Oryzias latipes: one gene and its partners. The protein of the gene in region 3 purifies or fractionates together with the protein of the main gene of each other region. This does not show direct contact. Links are inferred from orthologs where the notes say so. Each region holds a gene or a part of one and is shown on either strand. Other genes may lie near its edges.

What was found.
Region 1: the proteins of ccnb1 (region 3) and pkmyt1 purify together in Homo sapiens (affinity purification with mass spectrometry; 5 studies listed by BioGRID and IntAct, with this or other methods). This does not show direct contact. The link is inferred for Oryzias latipes from reciprocal best matches to the Homo sapiens genes CCNB1 and PKMYT1.
Region 2: the proteins of ccnb1 (region 3) and cdc27 purify together in Homo sapiens (affinity purification with western blotting; 6 studies listed by BioGRID, with this or other methods). This does not show direct contact. The link is inferred for Oryzias latipes from reciprocal best matches to the Homo sapiens genes CCNB1 and CDC27.
Region 4: the proteins of ccnb1 (region 3) and cyclin-dependent kinase inhibitor 1-like purify together in Homo sapiens (affinity purification with western blotting; 8 studies listed by BioGRID and IntAct, with this or other methods). This does not show direct contact. The link is inferred for Oryzias latipes from reciprocal best matches to the Homo sapiens genes CCNB1 and CDKN1A.
Region 5: the proteins of ccnb1 (region 3) and espl1 purify together in Homo sapiens (affinity purification with western blotting; 5 studies listed by BioGRID and IntAct, with this or other methods). This does not show direct contact. The link is inferred for Oryzias latipes from reciprocal best matches to the Homo sapiens genes CCNB1 and ESPL1.
Region 6: the proteins of ccnb1 (region 3) and cdkn1b purify together in Homo sapiens (affinity purification with mass spectrometry; 5 studies listed by BioGRID and IntAct, with this or other methods). This does not show direct contact. The link is inferred for Oryzias latipes from reciprocal best matches to the Homo sapiens genes CCNB1 and CDKN1B.

The regions. Positions count from the first base shown.
Region 1 is NC_019877.2:7,447,597-7,451,605, forward strand, and holds the end of pkmyt1 (membrane-associated tyrosine- and threonine-specific cdc2-inhibitory kinase), read right to left. Parts: coding exon 4,004-4,009; intron 3,807-4,003; coding exon 3,634-3,806; intron 2,316-3,633; coding exon 2,098-2,315; intron 2,018-2,097; coding exon 1,702-2,017; 3' UTR 1,407-1,701; downstream 1-1,406. Other genes in the region: zinc finger protein 16-like, read right to left, coding at 1-66, 461-480. UniProt on the Homo sapiens protein: Acts as a negative regulator of entry into mitosis (G2 to M transition) by phosphorylation of the CDK1 kinase specifically when CDK1 is complexed to cyclins. Mediates phosphorylation of CDK1 predominantly on 'Thr-14'. Also involved in Golgi fragmentation.
Region 2 is NC_019866.2:78,570-83,393, forward strand, and holds part of cdc27 (cell division cycle protein 27 homolog), read left to right. Parts: intron 1-2,840; coding exon of another isoform or gene 2,841-2,868; coding exon 2,869-3,131; intron 3,132-4,824. UniProt on the Homo sapiens protein: Component of the anaphase promoting complex/cyclosome (APC/C), a cell cycle-regulated E3 ubiquitin ligase that controls progression through mitosis and the G1 phase of the cell cycle.
Region 3 is NC_019870.2:25,679,005-25,684,393, reverse strand, and holds ccnb1 (G2/mitotic-specific cyclin-B1), read right to left. Parts: upstream 3,663-5,389; 5' UTR 3,575-3,662; coding exon 3,554-3,574; intron 3,315-3,553; coding exon 3,183-3,314; intron 2,695-3,182; coding exon 2,578-2,694; intron 2,097-2,577; coding exon 1,902-2,096; intron 1,829-1,901; coding exon 1,670-1,828; intron 1,533-1,669; coding exon 1,296-1,532; coding exon of another isoform or gene 1,236-1,295; exon of another isoform or gene 1,212-1,235; coding exon 1,071-1,211; intron 993-1,070; coding exon 882-992; intron 811-881; coding exon 709-810; 3' UTR 290-708; downstream 1-289. UniProt on the Homo sapiens protein: Essential for the control of the cell cycle at the G2/M (mitosis) transition.
Region 4 is NC_019863.2:2,307,454-2,311,701, reverse strand, and holds cyclin-dependent kinase inhibitor 1-like, read left to right. Parts: upstream 1-1,443; 5' UTR 1,444-1,447; coding exon of another isoform or gene 1,448-1,456; coding exon 1,457-1,871; intron 1,872-2,323; coding exon 2,324-2,379; 3' UTR 2,380-2,424; downstream 2,425-4,248. UniProt on the Homo sapiens protein: Plays an important role in controlling cell cycle progression and DNA damage-induced G2 arrest. Involved in p53/TP53 mediated inhibition of cellular proliferation in response to DNA damage.
Region 5 is NC_019863.2:4,429,122-4,433,945, reverse strand, and holds part of espl1 (separin), read right to left. Parts: coding exon 4,678-4,824; intron 4,598-4,677; coding exon 4,496-4,597; intron 4,401-4,495; coding exon 4,289-4,400; intron 4,211-4,288; coding exon 4,083-4,210; intron 1,188-4,082; coding exon 994-1,187; intron 894-993; coding exon 651-893; intron 471-650; coding exon 326-470; intron 1-325. UniProt on the Homo sapiens protein: Caspase-like protease, which plays a central role in the chromosome segregation by cleaving the SCC1/RAD21 subunit of the cohesin complex at the onset of anaphase. During most of the cell cycle, it is inactivated by different mechanisms.
Region 6 is NC_019864.2:11,435,294-11,440,799, forward strand, and holds the start of cdkn1b (cyclin-dependent kinase inhibitor 1B), read left to right. Parts: upstream 1-2,323; 5' UTR 2,324-2,644; coding exon 2,645-3,071; intron 3,072-3,273; coding exon 3,274-3,389; 3' UTR 3,390-3,402; intron 3,403-4,192; 3' UTR 4,193-5,506. Other genes in the region: yars2 (tyrosine--tRNA ligase, mitochondrial), read left to right, coding at 1,007-1,166. UniProt on the Homo sapiens protein: Important regulator of cell cycle progression. Inhibits the kinase activity of CDK2 bound to cyclin A, but has little inhibitory activity on CDK2 bound to SPDYA. Involved in G1 arrest. Potent inhibitor of cyclin E- and cyclin A-CDK2 complexes.

The DNA of each region.
Region 1 (4,009 bases), on a different chromosome or scaffold from region 3:
ACCTCCTGCACAGCTTGAGTCAGTAGTTTGGCCAAACGGTCGTTCAAACGCTCAATTTTAGACATCCTAAAAAATTTTAATAAAAAGTTAAGACACTGCAATAACTAAATTTAGGTGTCATACAAATGGCACTATCATTAAAATTATTTTAAAAATGTTATATAATTGTTTACTTAATGGGGAATCAGTGATCTGTTCTAAACCACATTTAAGATAAGAGATTTTGCCAAAATGTCAGCTTCCTTTTCTTAAAATTCTAAAACAGAAGATCAGAAATTATATACAAAGGTTGAATTGTTTATTTCTTGGAAACAATTTTTTTTTAATAACAAGCAGTAATTTCAATATACTTAACTATTTATTGCAGTTTTCCAAAATCAATAAAAATAAAATGCATTTTATAACCTATGCATTTTTGCCCCGAATACCCTCAGACGTTTTAAATTGCAGTATTACCTACCTGCAAGCTGCTAACTCCATTCCCCACCTCACTTTAAATGGTCAGCAGATGTTAGCCACATTAGCCTTCCGAACCATAATGTCTTTGGTTAAAAACCTCGAGAGTCAAAAAATCGCGGCTGTACAATTACTGTGCTGATAAAGTTGGCAACGTTTAGCCCGTGAAGAGATTAAATCGACTTAAAAACTGCGAATGAACGTCCCAGTCTTTACTAACAAAACACCCCAAAACCTTGAACGCAACAAAACAGCTGGCAACTCCCGGAAATACAAGGTTGATGTCAACAGTGGTCTTCAAAATAAAAGCCTATGTTCTGTTATTGTGTTACTCGTTAAGATGGGGGTTTCATTGCTTTGCTATCACAACTAAAGCAAATTTTAGTCATTTTTTTATTCACTTGTATCTTTAAATGTGCGTGTTCATAACATGTCTGGCACAAGTTGCGAACATTTTTTATTGTTAAAGAAATGTTAAAAAAATAGAAACTTTTAATTTGATGAGTTCTTTCACTAATATTACCAATCACACGCAAGTAAATTCGTTGCATGCAAAAATCACTGGAGTTAGTGCTTTACAGTTATGTCTGAAATTTGAGGACCCCCCCCCCCCCGAAACTTCCCTAACATCGTCTTAGACGTCAGGTGACTTTTTTTCTTTTTTTAAATCACAAAGTATGCTCTGTTGAGTATCTGTACAGGAACAGAGTATACATTCAAATATGTGTTTATGTTATTTATCAATACATAACCCAAACAACGTGCACTTTATTACTGCCATCTAGCGGTCAAGATTGGAAATACACTTTTTTGTCTTCTGACTTTAGAGTGTTATTTCTTATTGAAAAAGGGGTAACAAATAAAGCAATTAACTTGTAAGAACTAAGAAACAAACTACAGGAAGCTTTGTATTCAGGTGAGCTAGAAGCACAAAATGGCCCACAATGTGATTTCACCTCCAAATTCATGCTTTTATTGTCTCAGGGTTAATGATGCTGCAAAACATTCCAGAACAAATCATGCCATGCTCTTTTAACATCAAACAGCAACTGCTTAAGGCGTGTTTGTATGGTCAAACAGAATCCACTCTTTTTTTTTTAAATACATATTAATACAAGCAGTGGCAGGACTATTACAAAAAAAGCACTAAACTATATACAAAGCAGATAACTTGACATCATCTGAGAATTTCAACAGAAAAATACTTCTTACATTAGTGTAAAATGGCAGTTTTTACTTATGGCTTCACTCAGCTGTGATTTCCTCAAACAGAGAAAGCAAGTTCTTTGGCTCCAAGCTGGATCGGGGTGAGGTGTCTCCTGCAAGGATCCAGTTTCTACCACAGAGCCTTGTGGACTTGGTGGATGAAGGACTTCCACGGCGCTCTCCGTGAAGCTGGCTCTTGTTGGCTGAATGAGTGCTGGATGGGGTCAGGCCCAAATGGCAGGACCAGTCCCCAATAGCTGAGTGAGTGGGTGTGCTGACGTGACTCCCGTGTTTATGTACTGGTGACCCCGAGAGGGGCGTGGACGTGCTTTCCAGAGAGAGTCTGGATGTAACCCTGAGGAGAAGTGCATAAAGAGGGAGTTAAAGGAGGGAGAAACAAACAAGAACACCTGCAGGCAATGTAAAGAGATCTACCTGCGTGAAAAGGCAGGGGAGAGTTCTGGGTCTGTGTCTGCAAAAACCACAGAATCATCCTGTGGACTGCAGGGGTCGGAGTGAACAGTGGTGAGGGAAAGTGTTAGATCTCCCTCCCAACTGTCCCTAGGAGGAGTACAGGGCCTGGGCGCGGTCCAGCGGGGGAGGAAGGGCAAGTTAAAAGGTGAAAGGAGTCTGCACCCGAAGTACACCACCGACTATCACAAAGGGGAGAAAACAAAAGACAATCTGGTCATTCTGTTTTTAACACAGTACAGTACAGCCTAAAAAGTGAACCCGAGTGTCGGTGTCCGTATCGCTTCAGGAAAACTCCGGTGACCAATACAGCCACTTTGTCGGTGTGTCACAGAGAAGCCAAACAAGGAAGCGCATCTACCAGCACGGTTGCCAGATTCTGCAGTTTCCGCCCAATCGGGTAATTTAAATTTTGATATTGTTTAGAACTGCGACAGACTGGCGACCTGTCCAGGACGTCCCCGGGATACGCTCCGCCAGCCCCGTGACCATGAAAGGGAACAAACCTTTTAGAAGATCAATGAATGAATAATGCATAGAAAATTTGCTTTGGGCAGGTTTCATGTCAATTTAGCGGGTTTTAGTTTTTTTTTAGTTTTATTACACATCTAAGCCATCTTTTATTTTGAAAAATATTTTAATTTGAAAAATTACTGGATCCTCTCTGTTACATTTCTGTCACTTGGGTTTTAAATCAGTCCAGTGGCCAGTTTAACAGAGTAGGAAAAAACAACAACTTTCATGTAGCAGATGCGCGCCCACCGGTGTATGACGTTTTATTTTAATGAATCTTTCCTAAAGGTGATAAATGTGGTGTTTTAATTAGGTTTGTTGAATTATTTCATAGTTTTAATTGTGTTTTTGGCTTTTTGTCTCCCCCGTCCCTCTCAGTTTCCGCCTGATTGTTATTTAAAGTCAATCATTTTATGTTTTGAAGGTTAAATGTCACATTTGTTCAGCAGAACTATCAAACTTAAAAGCAGCTCCTCAATGCTGGGGAACTATAGAGCGAGACATGGAAATGAGGAAGCCACAACTACAATGACAAATATTGTGTTACTGTTTACACTAGTTTAATCAGTATATGACACAAATTTCCCACATGTGGGATCAATAAAGTACTTCTGATTCTGAGTGGATTTTCATAACTTGGTTGCCTGCCATGTTGTTTTCAGTCCAGCAGGGGTCAGTATTGAGTAACACAGTATCAATTCAGTTTGAGCAATGTGCTGAATGCTTCACAAGGCCTTATCTACCCATCACTACAACTTACAGGTGAATTTGAAACAAAGAACTGCTGTTCTGCAGAAACTATGTCCTAGAAAACAACACATCTTTTTTTACTTTAGCTAATAACAACATAATCATAATTAACAGACCACTGGGAACACTTTTAAAATAGATCAAAAGATGATTGGAGTGGGTCTTTAAACACAATTTTTCTGCTTTATACTTATTTAAATGGTGTAAAGAAATACTGAAAAACTATGTAGCGCTTACTTGACAAAGGGAGGCCAGTGTCAGCATAGCCTCAGCAAACATGAGACAACAGCGCCTCTTCCATCTATGTTTCCTAACAGAGGGAAGGGAAAGAAGTTCAGAGGCGCTGGGTCTCTGGGTCGGCTTTGGAGCCAGCATCATCCGGAGGACTGACTGAAGCTCAGCAGACAAGCCTGCAAACATGTTTAGAAACACAGTTTTCAAGAGTCAAATCATTTCTGTAAAGGCTCGACTATGTTTTACAGTAAAATAAAAAAAAAAGGGAAATGTTTTGCATTTGTGGGGAAACTTTAAAATGGTAAAAGCAGAAGTCTGTTATTAATTTAAGCTTAGTAAACATTTTTAATGGTTATAAGAAAGTCATCCTCACCGTTTG
Region 2 (4,824 bases), on a different chromosome or scaffold from region 3:
TGCCAAAGCAGAATGACAGCAACCTGTGCCAAAGCAGAACGACAGTAACCTGTGCCAAAGCAGAACGACAGTAACCTGTGCCAAAGCAGAACGACCGTATCCTGTGCCAAAGCAGAACGACAGTAACCTGTGCCAAAGCAGAATGACAGCAACCTGTGCCAAAGCAGAACGACAGCAACCTGTGCCGACTGTTTTTTTCTTAGCTGCACTCAGATTTAGAACCCAGTCGCGTTGATTCTCAGTTTAAAGTTTAACCCGTTCTCTTTATTTTTTTATGCACCGCTACTTAAAGGAGAAACCATAAAAGCATTTTTACTTTTTGTTACTAGTTGCAGTAGAACTGGTCTCAAATCTACTATTATCATTCACTGATTCTGAAACACTTCAATTTAGTTTAATTGTGTCTGTTGGCCACTTCACCTTAATCCTGTTCCTTAAATGTTGTTATTGCTTCTTCTTAAATTTAACATCTAAAATAATCCAGACGTTATTAGAAAAGTGTTTCAATTAGAAAGATGACTTGGACCAAACTCTGGGATGTTTGGCTGTTAAGAAACACAAACCTTGAAGGAGAACTAAACTGTTGACCTTTGATTTCATCAAGAAGATTTAAAAACTGTTGAATGTGTGTTCGTTGTGATTTCAAGACGTTTAACAGGGAAGACTCATTGTAGCGCAAAGTAGGGCTGGGAATCACAGGGTACCTCAAGATACGATACGATTTGCGATACATTGCTCACGATAACGATACTATCACGATATGGCGAAAATCTCGTCTCTAATTACGCTCGATATATAAACTTTAAGAAAAAGAATTTGAAAGGGTTATTTTGGAAAATATTTCCCCATTTATTTTTTAAAAACCATGATAATAAACAACGTGTCGTGTGTCCTATTTGGTGTAATGAATAACAGACTTTTGTGTAGCATTGCTGAAATCAGTAACACTCTGTCTTTGACAACCAATGATAATTTTCTTTTGGAAATATTTGTACAATTTGGTTTAAACAATAGTGAACATGAACAGCAGCCATTATTTAGTACAAAATTGCTGTAAACACGATAGAAAATGAATAAGTCCAGTAGATGCCAGGCACATTGGTATTAACTTTTGAAAAACAAACCCATAGCCATCATATTATTTAAAAAATAGCTGTGAATCAGATACTAATTCTGTGAACAAACTATAGTGTTTTTGTTAAAAATAAATGACACCATTTAGTGCAAATGTGGTGTAAACAAAAATATAATTCTCCCAGAAAAAAAAAAAATCAAGTAGCTAGAAACTTTCCTTTAAGTTATTTAAGACATAAACTGTTTTCTAAATAAATGACCAGGGATAAAATACGTGAAGAACTTAAAGTGCATCCAAAAGGAAACATCTTTGTGAACAACACGATTGGGGAAAAGCTGCATGTGATGTTCTGGAGAACCACAGGCTTTTTAGTGTCAAGACGCTGCTCATCTACCGCTGCTTTGAGGAGAAGGGCGGTCTAAGGGCAGGGATGCCTCTCTTTCTTCCGTTTCCATGTCAACCATAGCTCTGGTCTGGGCGTACAGCGCAGGGATCCTTTTTTCAGTATTTCCTAGAGGGAATGTCAAAGCGTTACTCCAATGCATTCAATAAAAGCCCAAATCCCTCGTTCTCCACCTCGCTGCAGGAAGGACGGACACCGTTTTCCATTTGTATTGCCAGTTCTCTGTCTTGCAGAAAACGGCGGTAGCTTCGTCTGGAAAAAGGTATCCGCGCCGGGCCGTGTCGGCTTCAGGCCAGCAACAGCCACGACTTTCTCACACAATTCCGTTGATGCAGCTTCAATGGTGCCGGCGCGTCTTTAAGTTGCTGCTCTAGCTTCTCATTGTTTTTCCGCTCCACCATCTTTGTTTGAATGTGTATTCTTTGTCCACCTGCAACAGCTAATCTTGCAAAGAGCGCCCCCTATCGACCCTCCGAAGAATCGTCTTAGCAAAGGATGATTAATATAACGTCTTACAGGGTCTTTAAACGTAAATAAAAGGTTGATACTTGATGAAGACGTCTCGAGAATCAATCGCGGGACTAAATATCGCGATATATCACCATATCGATATTTTGGCACACCCCTAGCGCAGAGATGCTGTCACTTTAACCCAATGCATCATGGGAGATGTAATGATGGCAGACAGACTCTTCTCTGAGCTTCATTTTATGTTCACTTGTTCCACGGTCTGATACCAGATTCTGTGGAAAGCTACACCACTAAAGACGAGCTTTAGCTGGTATTGTTGTTGGAACTGAGAGACTTTATAAGCAGAATCAGAACAAGGAAGTGAAGACTTTAACCACTTCTCATTGGTCAGACTGATGACGAATGATTAAGCCTCCAAGAATGATTGGCGGAGACAGTTAAAGGGGGCGGGACTTTTCCAAAAACAGAGCTGAATCTGCAGCTAAATCGCGGTACCGTCATTCTTATGAATGTGTCTTAAATAGAATCAAATAAACACGCAGAAAAAAGTATTTTATGATCTTTTATATTCCTAACTATTCAGGGTTTAATCAGGGCCTGTTTGGATGAACACAGAGCCTATATCCTGGAGATGGTAAATGTTTTTAGATCAGTTAATGAGGGTCATTTCCCACGGCACACTAGTGTGCCGCAGCACACTGGTTGAAAAATACTGGTTTAGACCACGATATGGACTTAATGTGTGTTAATGAATCACAGAGATTTGCAGGGATTTTTTATACCTCCAACAGGTGTGTGCATTTCTAAATATCTGTTGGATCGGGTGGTGTGTGGTTGGGTAACTACAGACAAGTGTGTTCTGCTTCTTAGACCTGCTATTTTTTTCTTCAGGCCGCGGTGTGGCAGGCACTGAACCACTATGCCTACCTGGATGCAGTTTTTCTTGCCGAGAGACTCTATGCTGAAGGTAACATGTCCCGCTGGCAAGCCAAGATTCCTCCTACTTGCTCACCTGTCTATCTCCCCCCTGGCAGTGAGGTCAGAAGAGGCTCTCTACCTGCTGGCTACCTGCTACCACCGCTCAGGAAAGCCCTACAAGGCGTACCGGCTGCTAAAAGCTCACAGCTGCTCCACGCCACAGGTTCGATTCCTGCTGGCAAAGTGCTGTGTGGAGCTGAGCAAGTAAGAACTGAGTCCCACTGTACAACATGGTGCCTATGTTGGCCAATAAATACATTTCAGTTTCACTTTAACTTTCAGTCTCTGTACTGTTGGTCTGCCTTGTTTCTCTGTATCTGAGTGACTGTGTCTTTCTGTCTTTCTCTGCCCATTTGTTTGTCTGTCTTTCTGTCTGTACGCCAGTCTGTCTTTCTGTCTGTACGACAGTCTGTCTTTCTGTCTGTACGACAGTCAGTCTTTCTGTCTGTACGCCATTCTGTCTTTCTGTCTGTACGCCATTCTGTCTTTCTGTCTGTACGCCATTCTGTCTTTCTGTCTGTACGCCATTCTGTCTTTCTGTCTGTACCCCAGTCTGTCTTTCTGTCTGTACGCCATTCTGTCTTTCTGTCTGTACGCCATTCTGTCTTTCTGTCTGTACGCCATTCTGTCTTTCTGTCTGTACGCCATTCTGTCTTTCTGTCTGTACGCCATTCTGTCTTTCTGTCTGTACGCCATTCTGTCTTTCTGTCTGTACGCCAGTCTGTCTTTCTGTCTGTACGCCAGTCTGTCTTTCTGTCTGTACCCCAGTCTGTCTTTCTGTCTGTACCCCAGTCTGTCTTTCTGTCTGTACGCCAGTCAGTCTTTCTGTCTGTACGCCATTTAGGGTTGTGCCGATGGACGATATCATCGTCCATCGTGATGGGTGACTAACATCCCGATGGAGAGACCACCATCGTGATGCCACGCCCCCGCCACGTTGCGCGTCGACACCATAAGCCGCGGTTACATGTACAAAATATCTTGATGGGATCAATGGTCGGATTAGAATCCAACCGTGTAGATGGGCCCAGAAAAATGTTTTCAGAATATAAAAACGTTCACTAAGGTCACAATTTCGGTCGGAATAAATCATTCGCACATGCGCAGTATTCGCACATGCGCAGTTTGAAAACCGGAAGGGGATACAACTTCCGCCGAGCGGCTTTTTTTCCAAACTTTATTGGATGTAACAATTCAATACAAAACGATAACAGCACCGAGCGGCTATATATATTGACATGTCAGCTCGGTAAAATACGAGATGATCTTCTAAACGTGCTTTTAATAATGTTACGGTTATTATCAAACACCTGTTCGCTCATCATTTGAATTTTAATCCGTGTGGTCAGTGCTTTTTCTGAACGGAGCCAGGATTAGCAGTATGCTAACACGGGCTAACAACATTAGCTTTGGGTGGCGCTGCACGTAAACGTGTAAGAATAACATCAGCCTTTATTTAGTCGGGACACGACTGGAAACACAAATCCACGTGATTGTTTGAATGTTTTCTAAGGACTGAGCGACATTTCTGCTTTGATGCTCAAACCGCTGTGTGTGCTGACGATCCGAGCTGTGCTCAGACACACGTTTAGACCCGGTTCTGAGTTCGGTTGCTTGTACCCCTAGAGCTGCGGGACGGATCGCAGTCTTAAATCTCCCACACATACCGCTCATGTACCCCCCTCCCATCAAACACAAAGCTTTAAGTCCGCGCTCCGCCGGTCCACTTCACTAATTAAGTGCGGGAGCGGACTACTTCTTTTCTATCTTGCTTGTTACTTTTTCTGTTAAAGTCACTTCCGTCAGTTTATACTGGATCATCGCGGATTAGTCATTAGTTGGGAAATAAAATGAAAAAAGCAAAATAACGAATAGCAGTTATATAAGAACGAAAAAT
Region 3 (5,389 bases):
TCATCTTTAATACTGCAACACTGAGTAAATTTACAAAAACATTTCAGAAAATAGTATTTGAAATAGAGTAAAGAATTTAAAATTTAGTTCTTTAGACAGCGTTTTACACAACATCCACTTTTGGACTAATCTTGGTGAAGAAATTGATTTTAACCCAACAGGATATAGCTAAAACATTAAACTGTATCTTTTTAAACTTATGGTCTAAATACCAACATTTAAATCCTCAAACATCTGCAGACTGTTCTTAGAGCACCCCCTAGTGGAGAAATAAAATCACAACAGGAACTAATCTTAGAATAAGGCCATTTAATATACATTTAAAAAAAAATAAAAATCAGAAACATCCCATACAACAAAAATTTAAAAGAATAACTGTACATATTACATAGTCACCTCAACACAGGTAGCATATTGTTGTAAATCCACATGTTTAGAAACATTTGCCTGCTGGGTCAGGAGTTCAGCCGGCTAGCTAACAAGTGATATAGAGATAAAAACAAGTTTGTGCATTTCTGTGGTCAGATGTAGCCGACTGAGCTCCAAGGAGTTGGATGCTTTTGGTGAAACTACTGTGATTGAGGGCTGTCTGTCACAACTTCAGGCACACTTTTAAAATAAAAACAAAACTGTAGTCGGTAAAAAGCCCAATCCCAAGAATCCCAGCAACAGTCCATCTGTACACGGCAGCACACTGTGCTGTCCTCACTAAGAAATCTGCGTTGCCAGATCTTTCACCACAGAGGATTTGAGCTGAGAGATGGTGGCGATCCTCATCTGCTTTGATGTAGAGTATTTTCCTTTGATGGCCTGTAGGGGGCATAACTGTTAGAGTTTGTGCAAGTTATGGCTTACAATAGGATTAAAAAATAAAAGATTACCATGTGTTTAGTTTGCCCATTGTTGACTTTCACGACATTCTTAGCGATGTGCGCCATAACAGGTGTCAGGGTCTCTGCTGTGTACTCCATGTAATGCTGCAGTGTCACATCCTGGGAAGGAAGACATTCATATCCAATGCTGTCCCAGGCAAGTCAGCGATGAGAGCAAACCCTTCAAGTGTCACTCACCCATTCCCCTGCATCCAGGACCTTGAGAGTCAGCGCCAGAGCTGCACTCGCCACCAATGAGGGCGGGAAATGAGCCATGTCGTAGTCAACCATGGAGAGCTCCAGCAGGTATTTGGCCAGGGTGTGTTGTTCAGCAGTTACCTGAAGAAAAATAAAATCCCACCTTCACCTCAGCACATGCAGTGGTGGAAGAGAACAGTTTGCCGCACCGACACCGCGCCACACCTCATAGATCTTGGAGGCCCTTCTGAGGAACTGCAGCGGGAGGGGGCGGCCCAGCTGAAACTTCAGCACTCGCAGAATAGTCATTTCCATGTCTCTGATCTGAGCAGTGGTGTAAGCCCTGTCCGTCACGTAGGCAAAGTCTGAGATCTCCGGAGGGTACATCTCCTCGTATTTGGAGGCCAGGAACATGGCGGTCACGCCAACCAGCTGCAGCTGCTTCTTGGGGACTGGATGGTCCTGTTGAAAGGACCGCAGACAAAATAAAAGAAAAATCTCAGCACACAAGTCAGTTAGAGGACATCTGTTATGAAATTATTTTTTTTTATTGAATTATGGAGCACATCTAGTCTGTAGAGGAACACTGACAGACTCACCTGAAGAAAGCGGTCGATTATTCCCACAGTCATGTACATGGTCTCCTGCAGCAGACGGAACTTGAGGCCCACTTGTACCAGCCAGTCAATGAGGATGGCTCGCATGTTTCCGGTGATCTCCTGACCCTCAAGGTAGTTTGGCTTTACGCTCTGCTCCATCTACAGGAGAACAAACGTCTCTTTAGGGAAACGGCACACATCAGGAATGCAGCTTTCCGGGTTTTAGTCCGACCTCAAGCTGACGGAGGTACTTGTAGATGTCCTTAACATATTCACTGCAGAGCATGGGGTTGTCGTAGTCATCTGCATCCACGTCCCTGATGGCCGTGTTGAGGATGACATCTGAAAATGCTTGACAGAGGTCAGCAGACTCACATCCAGAGGTCTCCATGGGGGTGGGGGATGCACGTTCAGCCTGGGCTGGCACCTGTGAGAAGGTCATGTCAAATCATTACACGTCACCCTAGTGGTAGAGCGTCTGCCCCAAGACTGGTAGGCAGAGGGTTCAAAACCAGTGGAGTCACAGCAAAGACTTCGGATGGAACCAAAGCCTCCCTGCTTGATTCAAGTGGACACATCAGAAGGGAGCTGGTGACCTGCCGGTGGGATTTTCTACCTCACAAATAAGCCCTTATCCAAACAAACAGCATTTTTTTTCTCAATTCACAACATTTGAATAAAGTAATCAGAAATGAAATTTCAATCTCATTTTCTTTAGATGAATCTTTTATAAGAAAGAGGCCACAATCAGAGTGGGTCTGTAAGGGGTTGGATTGGGAGTGGTTAACCCACCATATGGCTCCGAAGCACAACCATGCCTGGAGCTCACTGCTGCCCCCAGAGGATGGGTCAACCACGCAGGACAAATGTCCCAACCAGGTGTGTGACAACCAATGACACCAACTCACCTCAGTCACCTGCACTTCAGGTGCTGGTTTAACAGGGACCACAGCAGCTTTTGGTAGCTCGATCTTCTCAGCTTTAGCTGGGATCTTTGTCTTCTTAGCAACCTCCGTCTTGATAGTCTGAAGAAAGAAAGGTCAAACCCAAATACTGCTATGCATTTTACAGAGCTGGGATCTTTTCATTTGAGTTCTTTGCTTCTTGCACAGTTTGGGAAATCTCTACAGCTGCAGGCCAAAGCCACAAGTCCTAGCTGTACAGGTTTTGAAGCTCTGCGCATTGAGCTGATAGTACAGCAGTAACAAGAGTTTCTCTTAACAAATGTGCATTCAAACTCAAGTTGTTGTTTTTTTAGCAAAGATTTAAATTTACAATTGATGGTGTACATTCTTAGACATAGTTCCAGGTTAACTGTGCTCCTCCAACCTGGGATGCATTTTATACTTGACTAAGGGCCCCAGTTCAGCACAGTAGACATTTTCTCATCAGAACAGGCCCAACCCCTCACTTCTACACCAAACTTGCCCCAAAAAAAGGTTAATCACTTTACTTCGATAAGTGGAAAATACATTTATATAGGATTTTTAAAAAAAAAAAAAAAAGATTTTACCTTTTTCGTGACATCTTTGTTAATAACTGCGACGTTTCCGATTTCTCCGAGGGCCGCGCGGGGCTTCTGTGTAGGCCCGGCCACCGAGCACGTCTTTCCGCCCAGTTCGGCCCGGGTGGAGGCCAGTCGGTTCTGCAGCGAGAAAACGGACAAAACAAGGCGCGCTCGAGATAAACCTGCAGTGGTGAAGCAGCACGTTCAATAAATTCAAGCCAACAATATTTGACCTCTAGCTTCCGCTCACATACAGCCACATGACAGTCCAGTCAGAAAACACGTCAAAACATTTAAAACCAGAGAAAGACGCGCTTCCTGAAATCGTTCTTTTCCGGTAAAAACAGAGAGGAACGTGTAACGTGGTTCAGACTTACCCTGGTAACTCTCAGAGCCATGCCTTTGCCTGCTTCTCTTCCACAAACAACCACGAAATTGAAGCGGAGAAGGTGAAGATTCCAACGCACGAGTCGTGGTTTAAATCCTCGCTCGCTGCAAACCGATTGGCTGCGCTGGGCGGCTGCGGCGATTCTGATTGGATAAACGAGTACGTGTCAGATGCGCTCCCAAGACAACTTTGGGTCACGTGATCACGCTCTTCTTAGGTCACTTCCCTTACCCGGATATCTAACTCCGTTCTTCTAGAGCTATTAAAATAAAAACATTTGTAGATAAAAACATACACTACTTTATTGTTTGCATCTAAACAAGGAAAACACTTTTTTAACGCAAAACAAAAAGAAGAAGAATCAAGAGGATCTCAAAAACAATCCTTTACAAAAACAAACAGTACACTGAAGCTTATTTTTTAAGTATACTTGAGCATCATTTTACCAAGCATGCTGCTATAGGTTGGATGTATGTATAGTAGAAAGTACAAAATCTGTTAAGGGTTAACAAAATTTAGTATCCTTAAATGCACTTCAAGTAGGCTAAAAGTGAGGCAGTGGACTTGAAGTTTACTTTTTATATCTATATATTTTAAACTTAGACAGACTGGGCTGGCGACCTGTCCAGGGTGTCCCCTGCCTTTGCCCGTAACATGTGGAAAGGCTTCGGCAGCCCTGTGACCCCAAAAGGTACAAAACGGAAGAAGATAAATGTATATATAGTAAACTTAAAATGTTCCAATTTAGTCTATAGATGTATTCAGTTAGTATATTCCCTACACTACATGTGTATACCGGCTATACTTGTTATGCTCAGTTATACTTAATCAAATAAACTCAAAGTCTACCACTTATTGCTAATAGAATTGAATGTTGCCCTAAAAATGATTTTATTCTGACACTTAATGATTTTCTCAGTTTATTGTCATTTTTTATGTTAAAACATGTTTGAATCCCTCCGTGCAAAAGAATGCATATATATATATCTTTTTCTTTTTACAAAAAAGCTCATTAGTCCTGTATTCGCTACTAAAGTAGAACAGTGGTGTAGTGATTTGTTCTTTTGCCTCAGTAGGGCCTGGCTCACATCCCAGCCGGGTCTTTTCTGAGTCAAGTTTACAAGTTTACCCCAAGCATGTGTGGGTTTTATCCTGGCACTCAGGCATGTGCAAACATATTTAGGTTAATTGATGATTCACAATGTCTGTGACTGTGTGGCCCTGCAATGGACTGGTAACCCATCTGGAGTGTGTACAGCCTTCACCAAAGGATCCAGTGACCTCAAAGAGGATCAGCAGGTTTGAAATTGATTTTCTTTTTCTCCTTTTAATTTGAAAACACCTTCTAGTGCTGAAGCCTTTCACACAAAATGCATGCTGTCAACACATTTTTAAATGTTTTCATGCAGCTCAATCATTTTCTGCTGCAACGAAAAACTAATACAGCTCTGATCATTTTTAAGTTATCACCTCTGAACATGACCAAAAACAACACAGCGAACAGTCATGTGTTCTTAACTCCAAGCAGAGGAAAAGCGGGAACTCTGGCTGCATGTCTTTCTGTAAACCGTCAACAGAGATGTCAGTGCCTAAAAAACAATTCTATTATAAACAGAATTTTCCTGCCATAGTTTGAACTATGATGGTGGATTAAAAAAAAGTATACTTTTACTGAAACATGATTCAAAGTATTCTGGAAAATGGTGCAAAACTATGAATCTTCTTCTCTCCATCTCTGTGAGCTCTTCAAACCGTTCCTTCTGCTCCTCTCCAGGATCCTGAATGATCTTCTGCTAATCCAGTCTCATTTGGTGAGAATGCGTTT
Region 4 (4,248 bases), on a different chromosome or scaffold from region 3:
TAATTTAATCCAGGTTTGAGCAGTCCAGGTCCAGTGGTTTTTGAACAGGACCCGGTCTAAGGTGGACTCAGTGCGTAAAATACGATAAAAATCAACCTATTTCACATTTTCACAAATCAGAGGAAGGTTTCACAAATCAGAAACTGTGTTTAATGTATTCTTCAGTATCTAAATCATAATTTAATCCAGGTTTGAGCAGTCTAGGTCCAGCAGTTTTTGAACCGGACCCCATCTAAGGAGATCTTAGTGCAAAAAAAACAGTGGAATGCTCCTTTAGTGCACTCGCGAATCGGAAGCTGTGAATCGGATGCTAACTTCAGCGTCGTTGATCCAACATTCTGGTTATATGAATTAAAAAAGTTTCCTGGTAACTTATTAAATCAAAAAAAAGTTTTCCAGAAGTCCTATCTAGGGTGTTTTGATGCGCGCGCGCGTCCTCCGCGTGAGTACGGCGGTGACAGCCCCGTTTGAATGGGGGACACGTGCTCCAGGTTCACGTGGAGCCTCGTAGTAACCGAACGGGGCTGGTCCAAACCCGGATTCATACTCTCCCGCCATGGCCTGAACGCCCGCCCCGATGGGAGTCGGCCGCGCCCCCAGTGACCCCGCCCCGAAGAGACAACAGAAGCTTTATGTCGGTCTATGACGTCATGAAAAGTCTGGGTTACTCTGCTAGATCACCGTTCCAGCCTCAATGGAAGAATCAAAACATTCAAAAATAAGATATTTAATGTCAATATCCATCAGTCTGAGCTTTAAGAACAGCGGGATTATAATGTGGAGAAACCTAAATATTAATTTAAACATTATCACTAAAGAACTGGAAATAGTTTTAAACCAGATAAAGGAAAATATTCATATTTTTGGTATAAATTGTTTTCTAAAGTGTTTTTTAAAACAAAAAAAAAACAGGAACAACCATTTTTAATTTATGTATTATAATAAAATCATATCTAACAAGCTGCTGGGGGTTTGTTTGCTGTCTATCCTCATTTTCTGCTCTCTTTAAAAAAAAAACAACAAGCTTTACTGTGGACTATTTTGTCCTCCTGGATAACCAGCCTGGCCTGGGATGGACTTCCTTTTTTCCTAAAAAGGAAAATGTCCTGTTCAGGGTGATGCGGTCTGTCATGCAGACTGAGGTGGAAGGACACCTCTGGTGGTGGATCTGTCATTGCCACTCTGCCCCCTAGTGGCGGCTCTGTGTTGTCGGCCTGTCAGATTATGTCCAGGCATGTACCGATGATTCAGCCTCTCCTAAGAGGGAGGGAGGAGAGGAGAGGCACAGCTCTGCTTTTCTCTGATGGTCTGTAGAGTGAACAGTCATGGTGAGCTCGGAACTTTTTACACTTTGGGTTTTTCTTTGACTCTTTTACTGCTTTACATGATCCATCTCATCATCATATGACATCTGAGATCTAACCAGGAGTGTTCTGTGTTCAAACAGTGCAGAACCATGGCTGCTCCAAAGCGGATTCCCGCCGCTCCCAGGAGGCCCGCGAGGCGAAACCTGTTTGGCCCGGTGGACCGGGAGCAGCTTCAGCTGGAGTACCAGGCCGCCCTGCGGAAAGACCTGGACGAAGCGTCCCTTCGCTGGGGCTTCGACTTCCGCTCCGACAAGCCCCTGGAGGGCAGCCACTTCCTGTGGGAGAGCGTCCCGGGGGCCGGAGTGCCGCTGCTGTACCGCTGTCAGGATGCTGGACGGGTCCAGAAGACGGCGGAGACCAGGACCCCCCCCAAGAGACGAAGATCTGAGCTGCCGCAGAGGGAGAAGGAGAACATCCCACTGACAGAGAACATCTTCAACGTGGAGAAAACACCAGAGAAGGAGGAGAAGGCCGGGATGAAGAGGAAACAGACAAACATCACAGGTGCTTTCATTTGTTTTGAATCGTGTTCTTATGACGCTTTATTGACGATGGAGGACATTTATAAAGAAAAGCTTAGTATTTAATTGTTCAAAGCAGATAAAAAATGTTAGAAAAAGAGAGTATCTGCATTCATTTACAGACAAATAGGTCCAAAAAACTTTTTTAGTCCCTCGTCTGAGCTAGAAGAGTAATGTGAGGGGCTGTAAGCCAGCTAGAGAGGGTACAAATAGATGGATAATGGGAGGTAGGGGCGGGGTTACTCTGAGCTAATGCCCCGCCCACATCTCAGAGGTGACGACAAGATTATTTCATTTTGGCTAAAAAAGGCATAATCGTAATCAAAAGACGACAGGGAAGGCTTTTCTCAAAATATGATGGGAGTGGAACGTTCAGCTGCGTCTGTGTCGTTGCACCGATTCCCCCTGAGCTCAGTGTCGCTTTCATCCCTGCAGATTTCTACCAAGCTAAACGACGAATGGTCTGGATGCCGCGGAAATCGGGCGAGTGACGGAGGAGCGCACACGCCACGCCCCACTCAGAAGCCACGCCCTCCGCAGGAGTCCGTACCTGTGAACTCGGGAGGGGTTCAGCTACATTTCACTGCTCAGTTAATTAGGCTACTGTATGTGGGGGGGGATCGGTGCCTTTCCCTGGGCTAAGAAGGGGACATTTGAGCAGAGAAGATTAACGGTAATCCACGGAATCAGTGGATTTATCCTCATTTGGATCAAGCGGTTGCCAAAGTGATGACAGACATTTTCGCCGCTGTACATTCCACATCTCGGCTCCCACCCACAGGAGAGGAGGAAGATGTACAGCATGTGTTAAAATCACAATGTCCCCCCTTTTTTTATGCTGAAGTGAAGAGTTTTATATGAACTATTGGGAAAAAGAGATTCAACGTCTCCAAGTCTAGAGACGCTCTGCTTCCATCACGAACCACAAACCTGCATTTCCCTTCATGTCCTGTCTCTTATTCGTCAAATTCATCTGCTGCTCTGTCCTGACGTGTGAATGGCTCTGGATTATGAATGTTCAGTGTGTAGCAATTTATCTCTTTGGAGCATTAACCCCTTGTGCTATGTTGTTGGGTCAAAATGACCCCACCCTTACATTGACGTGTTATCCCTACCATGAGAAATGTAGATAAAGGTGGAGAGGATTTCATGTAAACATTGAAAAAAAAGGTTCAGCTCACTGTCTTGTGGGGTCCAGATGACCCCACTTCCAACTGGGGTCACCTGGACCCCACAAGACGGTGAGCTGTACAAGCCAATATGTCTAGTAGGGTCCAGATGACCCCACTCCCAACGTTAACGTGCTCCCAAGGCATGTTAACGTTGGGAGTGGGGTCATCTGGACCCTACTAGATAGCACAAGGGTTATAGATATATATTCAGCATATATCAGATGTATTTGAGTAGTATAAATCTAAAAACATTGCAGTATTGCACAGAAGTTGTACTTGTAGGTATTTTAAGGTGCGTAAAGGACGATCAGGAACAGTATTTTCAGGTCCAAATGTATTCGTGAGGAAGGTTTTTCCATCAGGAGCAAAGGTGTCATGGATGGAACTACTGCTCTCCGCTTGTAAACGACATATCTGTCCAGCAAATCCTGCTGCTCCGCCTAATCTGGATGAGAGTCATGTAAGGTCACTTTAATCATGTATGAACTGACGGCTTCGAAAAGAGCAAACCTGCCCCAATGCACTTCTGCTGATGCTTCTGGTCATGCGATCACTTTTCAGCTCCTCAGGAGTCGACTCTTATTTATTGTGTTATTCATCGTGTTTGTGTGGATCCGTGATAAATCTGAAATAAAAGGCTGATGGTTTTTCTGGATCCTAACTCAATCCAAGGAGAGGAAGAGGTGATGAAGCGCTGAAGGAGTTTTATCTGTGTTTTTCTACACACACCTTTATTTTCTTCAACACAATTGTTGGGTTATTCGTGCTGGGAGTTGAGGTAATAAACAACACGGCAGGAGTGGGTTGATGATCTCAAAGCAGCTGTGACCACAGTCACCAAGAAAACCATTGGTGATACTTCTTGCTGCAATCCTGATTATAGTTAAACAAGTAAAAGAAAGAGACAAAGAGCAGAGAGGAGGCGTAAAAACAGTGAATGGAGATCCGTCCTCGCCCCCTCCAGCAGATCAACTGCAGCCTTCTCTCTGTTGGCTTTACTTTGCATTTTATGGCAATCTGCTTTAGTGTTATATGTCTGTTCTGGAGGAAATTCCCAATATGTTCTGCAGGTACAATAGAGGACAATCTGTCATCTGTAGATTTATTTGAACAGTGAGAGATAGAAAATCACAAAGCACATCAAACAAACGTATATACATTTATTTAGATTTCATCAAGGGACTCCAG
Region 5 (4,824 bases), on a different chromosome or scaffold from region 3:
GATCACTAATATCGCATCGTGCCATAAGCAGAGGCTTACTACTGTGCCTGAAGTCCCGCCCACAACTCAGAGGTGCATTTCTAATGAACTTCTGCTTCTCTGCAGAAACTATGTCCTAGGAAACGCCGCAAGTTATTGGATTTTGGCTAAAAACGTATTTCAAAACCACTGGGAACACTTTGAAAATAGATCAAAAAAAATAATCAGAGCGGGACTTTAAAATCTCAATTAGTCACCAAAAGATATTTAACAAAATTTGCTCAATGATTGCTTAGGAGAAATACAAAGAGAATGATGAAAATTCAGATGATCAAAGGCGGATCACCTCTTGAAGATGTTTCTCCAAACTGCAGATAAAAAGCCAAAGTTCAGCGTGGGCTTTGTCATCCTTCAGTCTGTCAGAGTTCTCCGGAGTCTCGACCTCGTCTCCAAGCAGACGCAGAGCTTCACGCGTGAAATCAACTGCAGCACTGTGTGGACACAAAGGAAACCATTGAGATTTCCATCATTTTAGTGCCCAGCAAACATGGCCAGAGAGGATCAGTTTCATTCCCATGGTGTGAACATAGGGGCACAAGGCATAAAATGAAAAAGACATTCTACCAAGTATTGATTAGTAAATTATGGAAAATACATAGAAACGCTCTTACCAGTCGGTGTGTTCTCCAAAGTCCTGGAAGCACACAACCTGAGCCATTTCACAGAGGTAGAGAGCACGGCGATGGCTGTGAGAACTTTCCTCATTACAGATGTCCAGGAGATCACAGAGAGTGTTGTAACGCTCTTGGGCTGTGTCTCTTGGCAACTCCTTGTACGTACGCAACTCTTCCTCCAAAAGGCAAAGCATGATTTGCTCATCAGGAACATCAGCACCAAAGCCGTCACGCAACGTTCTGAACCATCGCGATACAGGAGAACAAGGGAGGGAAGACAGGAGGGGCTTTACTTCAACTAGAAAAAAAAACATTTCTTCATCATAGGACTTGTTGCTACCTGAGTCTTATGTCTTCATCAGAATTATTGACTGCATCAGTCTTGGTTTTCACCCAAAGAGACACAGGCTCGGACATGTGAGTGGTGATGTTGTCTCCAAGAGCTTTCAGCCACAGAATCACCCACTGCAGGGCTCGGTCCAGCTGCCCGGCCCGGCGAGACGTTTGCACAGCCAGCATGAAGGGTCGATTCAACTGGGCGGCAACAATTCAACAGCATTATTCACAAGCAGTAAAGCCAGATCTAAAACTAGGGACGTAAAGGATGCAGAAACGTCTCAAAAATTCATCTATTACTGGGAGTAACAGCGGTAACAACCATAGATACAAACAAGATTACGTTGGTAAAGAGGTATAAAATCAACCCAGAACTAAATAATCGATTTCTTTTCCTGTTGTGTTTCTGTCACTGTCTTTTTCTAAACGTGATGTAAACCAAAAGACATCCAATCACACGCTTGCTTCTACTAAGTCAGGTCAATTCCAATTGGCTGAAGGTGAACCACAGTTTTGTGTTCACTAAAAATATGATAAACAATTTTTCACAGCACTTCAAATAGCTAAATAAATTAATAGGACAAACTTTTTATTTAACCACAGAGAACCGAACACTCTAAAATACACAAAATACAGGTTTTTATGTCATGTTTTTAAGTTGTTCTGTCCTTTGTTTGTTTTTTTGGTTTTATTGCTCAAAATAAAAAGGGCCTGCAAAAAAAAAGAAGAAAAAAAATAACAAAATGTCTCTTTTAAAAAGGCATTTTCATTCATAGGTTTAATGCCAAAAGAACAATAAATATCTGGATAAGGAGTCGGCAACCTGCAGCTGAGTGGATAAAGGCCTCATGATGCAGAACCTCGCCGGGTCGTCCTGTTGTATTTTGTGAGCAGGTCGGAACCAGGAGCGGTTCGGAACCAGGAGCGGGTCGGAACCAGGTGAGCTGCTCGTCTCTGGAGCGGTTAAATATTAGGATTAAAAAAATCTAAACTATCATCCCGCATCACCGCCACGACTCCCGCCGGCGTGAGATCCAAACAATGTTCCGACCCAGGTAGGATAAGGATGGAGAATTTCGAGAAAATGGAAATTCCTGAGGAAAACAGTCTACCGTAATTTCCGGACTATAAGCCGCTGCTTTTTTCCTGCGCTTACAGCCCTGCGGCTTATTCAGTGACGCGGCTAATTTATGGATTTAATTGACGGCCGCCATGTTCGCACTTACAGACTCGGTGGATGGTTTGAATTCTCTGTCTAACACCAAGCACGAGTTATTAGTTTTGTAACACACCTCTAAGCAGCCAAACAGCATGGACCTGAGTTCAGGTCTAAGACACTTCAGTCATGGTTCAACAAAACGAAACACGCATGCCCTGCCGCATCCCAGAATCCTTTGGTGCCATTAGACCCAACGTGCACGTGATCGCCGCTACAATATGATGAAGCTTTCAAGTTAAAAGCAGCGTGAAAAAAATCAACCATCACCAACGGGTTTGGAAAAGCCGGTCAGCTGCGTGAAGGAGAGAACAGCGCATGCTCAGAAGTGTATTTACCTCTGAGTCATAGTGACTCGGCTGGCTGCACGTAAATATGTGTGAATAACATCAGCCTTTATTTTGTCGGGACACAACTGGAAACACAAATCCACGTGATCGTTTCACGGTTTCTAAGGACTGAGCGGCATTTTGCATTAAAAAGCTCACAGCCGCCGTGTGAGATTTTCGGATAGGAAGGGGAGACAAGGAGCCCGCTTGGCGAGCGCGGAGCGCAGAGGCGTGTTTGTTTGTTTTGGACGGAAACTTCTGACGCGCGCGCCGCGCTGAGGCGCGCGCGTCAGAAGTTCGCCGCTGCTTTATTTTAGTGGTGTGTGTTTTTAACCAGCCCTGTTATTCCCATAACGCTGCCGCGACACAAGTGGAAGGAGAGCTGTTCCCGTTCACCCCTCCATGCACTGCTGATACTTGCTCATTCTTAAACACGTACAACAGTGTGGCAAGCCGGGCGTTGGCCCCGCCTTTAGCCCCTAAGACTCATGGGAAATGGGGGATCGCGGATGTAAGTTTCCTCATCATAACTGAGGGATGTAATGTTGATTACATGGTTACTGTTTGTAATTTTATGTATGATACCTAGATTGTCAATAAGTAAAAGAAACAAAAAAAAAAAAAAAAAAAACATAACTGAGAAACTTGTGAACAGAGTAGAGGTCCATGCTGTTAGGCAGATGTGGGTGTACTTAAATACATGAGCCTCAGGCAAGGCTGGCCCAGCCACAGTATGTTACTGAGTCACACTTATCCTAGGAATCAGGATGTGATTTGTCAGGATGATCATGCTGCCCAATACATGCGGCTTGTACTCTGATGCGGCTTGTGTATGTACAAAACTAGTTAAACACTTTAAAATGGGTGGGTGCTGCTTGTAATCGGGTGCGCTGTATAGTCCGGAATTTACGGTATTTAATGGCAACTGGGTAGATTTGTTTGCCTTCAACAACTTTACCAGTATGATTGATATATAATAAAGAATTGGCAAACAACAAAATATCAAATGTGGAGAGACATCCCAGAATAAACACACAGTTTATGCCCAAAAACATCCTGATCCCAATGAGAAAATAAGTCTGTTTGTTGACAAAAATCTATGGGAGAAGCAGATTAACTGCTGGTTAATGACCACAAATTTGTTAGATCTGATGACTCTCTGGAAAAGTTTCTCATCTGAACCCATGAAATGACAGAGGATACAAATAAAAATGAACATCACTTCACAAACTCTAAAAACAAGTGAAATGCTGCCGTTCACTGGAAACACCGGGTTTTCCAAAGGCTGTTGTGGCTCCCTGTGTTTGATTTTCTGTGGGAAACTGATCCAAATGGCTCTTTGAGTGGTGAAGGCTGCCGACCCCTGATGTAGATTGTATTCATTTAGGTAAAAGAATTGGACTGCATCCTATTGCCACAAAGTTAGTTGATATTCGTGGACCACGTATGGAGATCAGAAATTATATCAGAAATTTACAAATTCAAATAACAGCACGTTTCTGCAAAATGGTTTAGCCAACATTGAGGAGTAATGTTTTTGACACTCACCCTATCAACAGACAATGAAACGGCGTGCTTCTGGCAGAGATCTTTGCAGAGGATCTCCACTATGGTGAAGGCTTGATCGTACAGGTGACGGTTGTACAAACCACATACCATGTTGCTCACAGCAACCACTGCAACACAAAAGGTCCTACCAATGAAACACAACACCCCTGAAAGGCAGAACCTCCAAACAGACGATATTAAAAAACCTGCTTTGGTGAATAGATTTTCATTGGCCAACTTCTGAAGTTCCTTCATCAGCAGTCCAGTTGTAGACTGGCAGTAGAGCAGCACTCTCTGCAGGAGGTCCGGCTCCTCCAGCTGGGAAAAGGTTTTTAGAGTAAAGACGTGTTTACAACCAAACGCTAGCATCATGAGGGGTGAATTAGTCTTTCGCCATCAAGTATTGTTCTCACCTGCGATGCCAGCATGCTCTCATAAGCAAATACAAAGCTCTGGTAAATGCTGAAGCACAGGGTCTGCTGCAGTCTCCTGCTGTCCAAATGCTTCGACAAAGTCTGGAGAAAAAAAAAAAAAAACTACTAAAGAGATCTTATTTAACAGCTGGGAAAAGCTTTTCTTTACAAAAAATACAAACCTTGTCTAACATTTTTAGTATATACTCTTGGTACTCCTCAAGAAAAGAATAGAAAGCAAGGAGCACAGGTCCACTCAATCCCTTCTCACTTCTGCTTTCAACAGCCCACAAAACGAGACCACACGCCTCCAGAAGAGCGCGCCCCCC
Region 6 (5,506 bases), on a different chromosome or scaffold from region 3:
CTAGTTTCACAAAGCAGTGAGATGTGAAAGTTGATGCAAAAAGAGGATCTTTGACGACAACCTTTCACAAACGAGAGAATTTGCTGACATTGAAGATGCCATCAATAAACTACGGTGGCCCTGAAGTGTAAATCCCACCAACAAATCACTCAACGGAAAAAGATACTAAAGATCACGATGACAATTAAAAAAGCACAACAAATACTAAAAAAGGATTACATTTTAGAAATCAAAACAAATTCTACAAACTAAAACGTAAAAATAAAAAGGAAATGTTAAAAAAATGAAACAAAATATGGAACCTGAAAAGGTAGGTACTATGGGACATCACCGATTGGACGATGATGTTTGAGTTTTAAAGATGAAAAGCATAAGGATGTTTGGCTCAAAACTGCGGTGGAGTTGATTGAGCAACCACTGAACTTTGACTGTGATCAGAAACTCGAAGACAAATCATCTAATGTAGTTTTTGCATTGACTGATTTGTTGATTGGATTTGCTCATCAGGGTCACTGTAATAAACACACGTAACATAAAAAAATAGCTTTAAAATTCAGCAGTGTCCCTCTTTTATTGGCTTTATAGCTCTTGAGTCAATTGCCTGTAATGTGTTGTAGCCCAACTACTGGATTCCCACTCGATCAAAGCATTAAATCTGTTACCAAATGGGGACAAAAACAATCACATTGGTTTGGTGCACATATGTATATTCATGTTTATGCTAAACTTGTTCTGTGGACTTTTCCATTTGCTTTACCATGAAAGTCTCAAAAAGTTGCTTTTTATTATTATTTTTTTCTTTACATACAAACACCAGCGTTTGTGCAAAGATTTGTGTTCACACATTTCCACCAAACCTTTTTTTCCCCTAGATGTTGTCGGAGGAATCAAATCCACTAAATGTTGAAATACACAAAGATTTCTATCCTGCTGCTTTGGGTTTGGTTGAAAACACTTGAAATGAATGGGATTTGGATCCTGACTGAGCCGTCGTGTTCGCTTGCAGGTACCAGATGGTTTCAGACGGAGCCGTGTGGATCAACCACACACGGGCGGACAAACCGGAGCAGGTTCTCGTCCCCAAACTCCACGTCCTGTCCAACGGACTCACTCTGCTCAGAGTGGGCAAGAGGAACTACTACATCATCAAGTGGCTCGGTCTTTGAGGCTGCACCGCCCACCGCAGTGCCTGTACGCCGTAAAGGACTTACAGGCAAGGTAGGCGACTAAAGCAGACTGTAGCGGACTCATAATGGTGACTCTGTAAGTCCATGTGGCCTTTGTTAAAAATGTAATCGTACAGACAACTTTAGTATTTAAAGGTATTAAAAGATTTGTGCTTCCAGAGTTGTGTGTTAGATGAAGCTCTAGGGGGCGCTGTTGGCTTGACAGTGGTTGAGTGAACACTGCTGCACCTCCTATCCTGCTCTGACCCTTTGAGTAAATAATTGCTCACAGCTAAATTAGATTGCATCATTTCTGTCAAAAGGCTTTTGGTTCTATTTAAAGACGACTGCGCCACTTTCAATTTAAGCATCAAGCTGCCCTCTATTCTCATTTAGGGGTGTTTATTTTTTTTTGCATGTGAATAAAAAGTAAAAACTAAGAAGCTTTATGATAAATCTGGAAAAAAACAGTTGACTTTAGGATAGCAGAAATTTATTTTCATCTTTATATGTTATTACTTCATATATAAATATTTTCAGTCAATAATTCCGATATATGTACAGATTTTGTTACGGTAAGAAAATTTTTTAGAATTAAAATGTTTATTAGGCTTTTACTAAATCAGCTCAGTTTGGGGTCCTCTTACTGGACTTTATCTCCATTTAGGACCACAGGTTCATTTATTAGTGTCCATTGAAAGAATATGATGCAACAATTTCAGTTTTGTTTTGGATTTTACTCCATTTTAATTGTATTTATTAATTTTACTGTACATCCAAAATGTTTAAAATAAATACTGAATATGTGTGTTTTAGAACATATTGGCACTATTTGTATGGTTGCAATCCAATTTTTTTCTTCAAATTTAGATGTCTTAAAATGTTTAATCCATTTTACTTTTTGAAACTTGTACATTAAGTTACATCAAATGTGTGAACTTATTTACTTTGTAAAAAAAATAAAAAAGGTAAGTAATATGTTTAGAACAGCATGCCTTATGCAATTATTCGGTCTACCTTAAATAAAGTGGGCGGGTCTAAAGAGCTCCATCCAATGAGTGCGCTTCTTGGGTTTTAAATGGCTCCGTATGTCAATCATGTGTAACCCTCCTCCCCCTCCCTCCAAAGTCAACCTCCCCTCTCAATCCCCACTACATGTCTCAATCGCCATATTGGGTACCGAGAGGTTCGCCTCCGCTTCCCGCTGTACGGAGCGACGTTGACAGCGAGCTTTGGTTCGTTCTCCCGTCGTTTGGATGATTGGCGTAAGCCGTCTTCGGCTCAGGAAATCGCAGCCGTGTTTGCCTCCAGCTCGACGTGCGCATGGTCGTTTCACGCCTGTTTTGGATCTTTCCCCGTGACTAGGAGGACATACCTTTTTTTTCTTTTCTTTTTTCTTCTTGAGGTGTGTTTTTCGCCTGAAAACTGGACGCTCCCGGCTGCTTGAAATTTTTACCTTTTTTCCGGGGGGCTTAACCATGTCTAACGTTCGACTTTCGAGCGGGAGCCCGACTTTGGAGAGGACGGAGCCCCGGGTGTCGGAACACCCGAAGCCGTCAGCCTGCAGGAGCCTCTTCGGCTCGGTGGACCACGAAGAGTTAAAGAGGGATTTAAATGTACATTTGCGGGAGTTTGAAGAGGCTGCCTCCGCCAAGTGGGGCTTCGACTTCGCGACTGACACACCGCTGCCCAACAGCAGGCTGGAGTGGGAGCTGGTGAACGCCAGAGACCTGCCGAGTTTCTACACCCGCCTGCCGCGGCGAGAACGAGGCGTTTGCCCCGGGAATAACAATGTGGATCTAAACGGGAATCATGACTGTGTCGGGACAGTTCCCAGCCGCTCTGACGCTCAGATGGAGTGCACGGAGCAGTGCGGCGGGCTGAGGAAGAGACCTGCGTGTCACGGTATGACATTAGCATCAAACGACCCGTTGCTGTGTAACAGATCGCCGGGCGGCAGCTTTGTGCTCGCGGTACTGGTATGCGGGATGAGGGGGTCGTAAAGCGGGGGAAACTGCCGTAAAATCCCAGAGAACATTGAGCACCCCGACCATTTTTTTCTCTCTGTAATATATAGTTTATTTTACTCATTTATTTATTTTTGCAGACCCTTCGGCCCCAAGTAAGAAGTCTCACACCAGCCCGGAGGAGGTTAGCTGTCCGAGCCTGAGCCAGTCTGCAGAACACACACCCAGAAAGACCAGCCCCAAGAGACCAACGTGAGCACGGCGACACGGTGAGCGAACCACTTCAATTTAAAAAAAACTGTTAACCTCGAATTTAAAAAAAAAAAAAGATATTAAATTTTACATCATTTTTTTTTTTATTTGTATTGACGCATTCTAGCGCAAAAAAGTGAAGTCTGTTTATTAAACCAAGAGGATTTATATGACACGCCAATAAAGAATTTTTAAAAAAAAAAGTTTTTTCCTCCTTGCGGCCGATGTTCGTCTGCTGAACTGTAAACAACAAGCTGAACAACAGTGTAGTAGTAACACGTCAGCAGCCAGTGGCCTCCGCGCGGACGGGAAGGGGCAGGTCTCTGAGCGCGCGCGCGCAGAAACACACGCAGACATGTACACTCCCTGCTGCAGAGGAGAGTACGAGAGTTCTGCAGGTCTACTATGACCCACAAGAGAGAAGGAGCACAGAAACCTGCTCTAAGCTGTCAGGTGTGAACCTTTAAAGGTTGTGGCAAAAAAAGTCAAGGTTAAATTAGCGGAACTTTGACTTCGATTTATCTTTAAGTAAAAAAAAATCCCATGTTCATTTTCGTCTCTTCTTAGTAAAAATAAAAGTTAACAGAACTGAAAAAATTGCACGTTTTTGTAAATGGTATGCAGCCGAGCTTTATTTGAGTTGATAGTTTTGTTTTGTTTTTGGAAATGACTAGTTTCTTCTTTTTTTTCAGTCATACCTCAGAACACTGTCAATACTTTAGCAGTAGTAGTTGCATCTCCTAAAAGAAAAAAAAGTACTAACCTTTCAACCTCTTTGTTTTTGTCTTTTGTTCTGATCTCCAACAGAGCTCAAGATGTGCCCCTCCCAGTTTTTTTTTCTCTGTACGAGTGTGTTTGCGTATGCGTGCATGTGTTTTTTTTTGTTTTTTTGTTTTTAAGACTGCGTTGATCTTTTTTTTTTTTTTTTAATTATTCTTTCCTTTTTTTGGACGAGGATCTACACAGCATCAGAAACATATCAGCTCTCCTGAGGACGGGGGAGGACGCTGTTGAAGCACTGAAGAGAAACACTAAAGTTTGTGGCACTCATTGAAATGTTACTGCCTCTAACAGCAGTCCATGTAGCAGCGTGCAATTAGGTTTGATTTTTTTCTTTTTTTAACTACCTGTGTGTAAATAATTTAATAAATAAATATATATGTTTTCTATGTAGCACATAAAAACATTGATTTTTTTTTTTTTTTAATCCTTTGTGTAAAAGAGGTGTGAATTTTGATTTGACTTGAAGTGTTCGGTTTGAAACATGTTTCCAAAATGCTGTTCTGTTTGCATTTTATTATTATTATTAATATTTTTGAAAGGCACTGTGGTGTTGACCCAGTCCATAAATGCTACATTTAAAAAAAAAGAAAGAAAATCATGGTTTTAGTTTCTCAACAGTGTGCCTTTATGCCGTCATCTTCCTAACTCAACAGCAAGGAATGGTACAAATGTAGCTCATCTGCCTAATGAACGTGTTTTTCTTTTCTTCCCTTTTTTGTGTTGAGGCCACTTTTTCTTTTTTCTTTTTTTTAAAGATCCACAGGAAATGGCACAGGATGAAATTAAAAATTTCAGCAAGTACCTTTTATTTTCCTTTTTTTTTTTTTAATATTTATTTTAAAATTGGAGTTCTGATGCTTTTATTTTGTAAATGTTTCGATCCCCAGAGTTGTGAGGCACTCATTTTTTTTTTGAAGGACAAAGACCATGCACATGTTTCCAGGCTGTCAAACCTAAGTTAAATGTTTCTCCTGTACCAAATACACACTCGCTTTTATTTGGTTTTCAGAGTTGACTTCACATCGTATGACTTTGTGATAACCTTGAATGCTTTTATTTGTTTTCCACCCTTGTTAACCTGCTAAAGATGGAGGTTCCGGCTTCCAAAAGCTTCTTTGTTTCCCCGCTAACATCTGGTTTATCTTCAAAGACAGCAGGCTCCACCTGGATGGAGACACAAAACGGCGCGTCTCACAAACGCAGTCATGTGATCGTGTAAACCTTTACAGTGTACATGCGTACATATTTTTGTAAAAAATAAAATAAAAAAGACACTGAGAAATTATACTAACTTATTTATGTCAAACTTTTTTTTTTTAAATGTAGAGTAATTCTTTT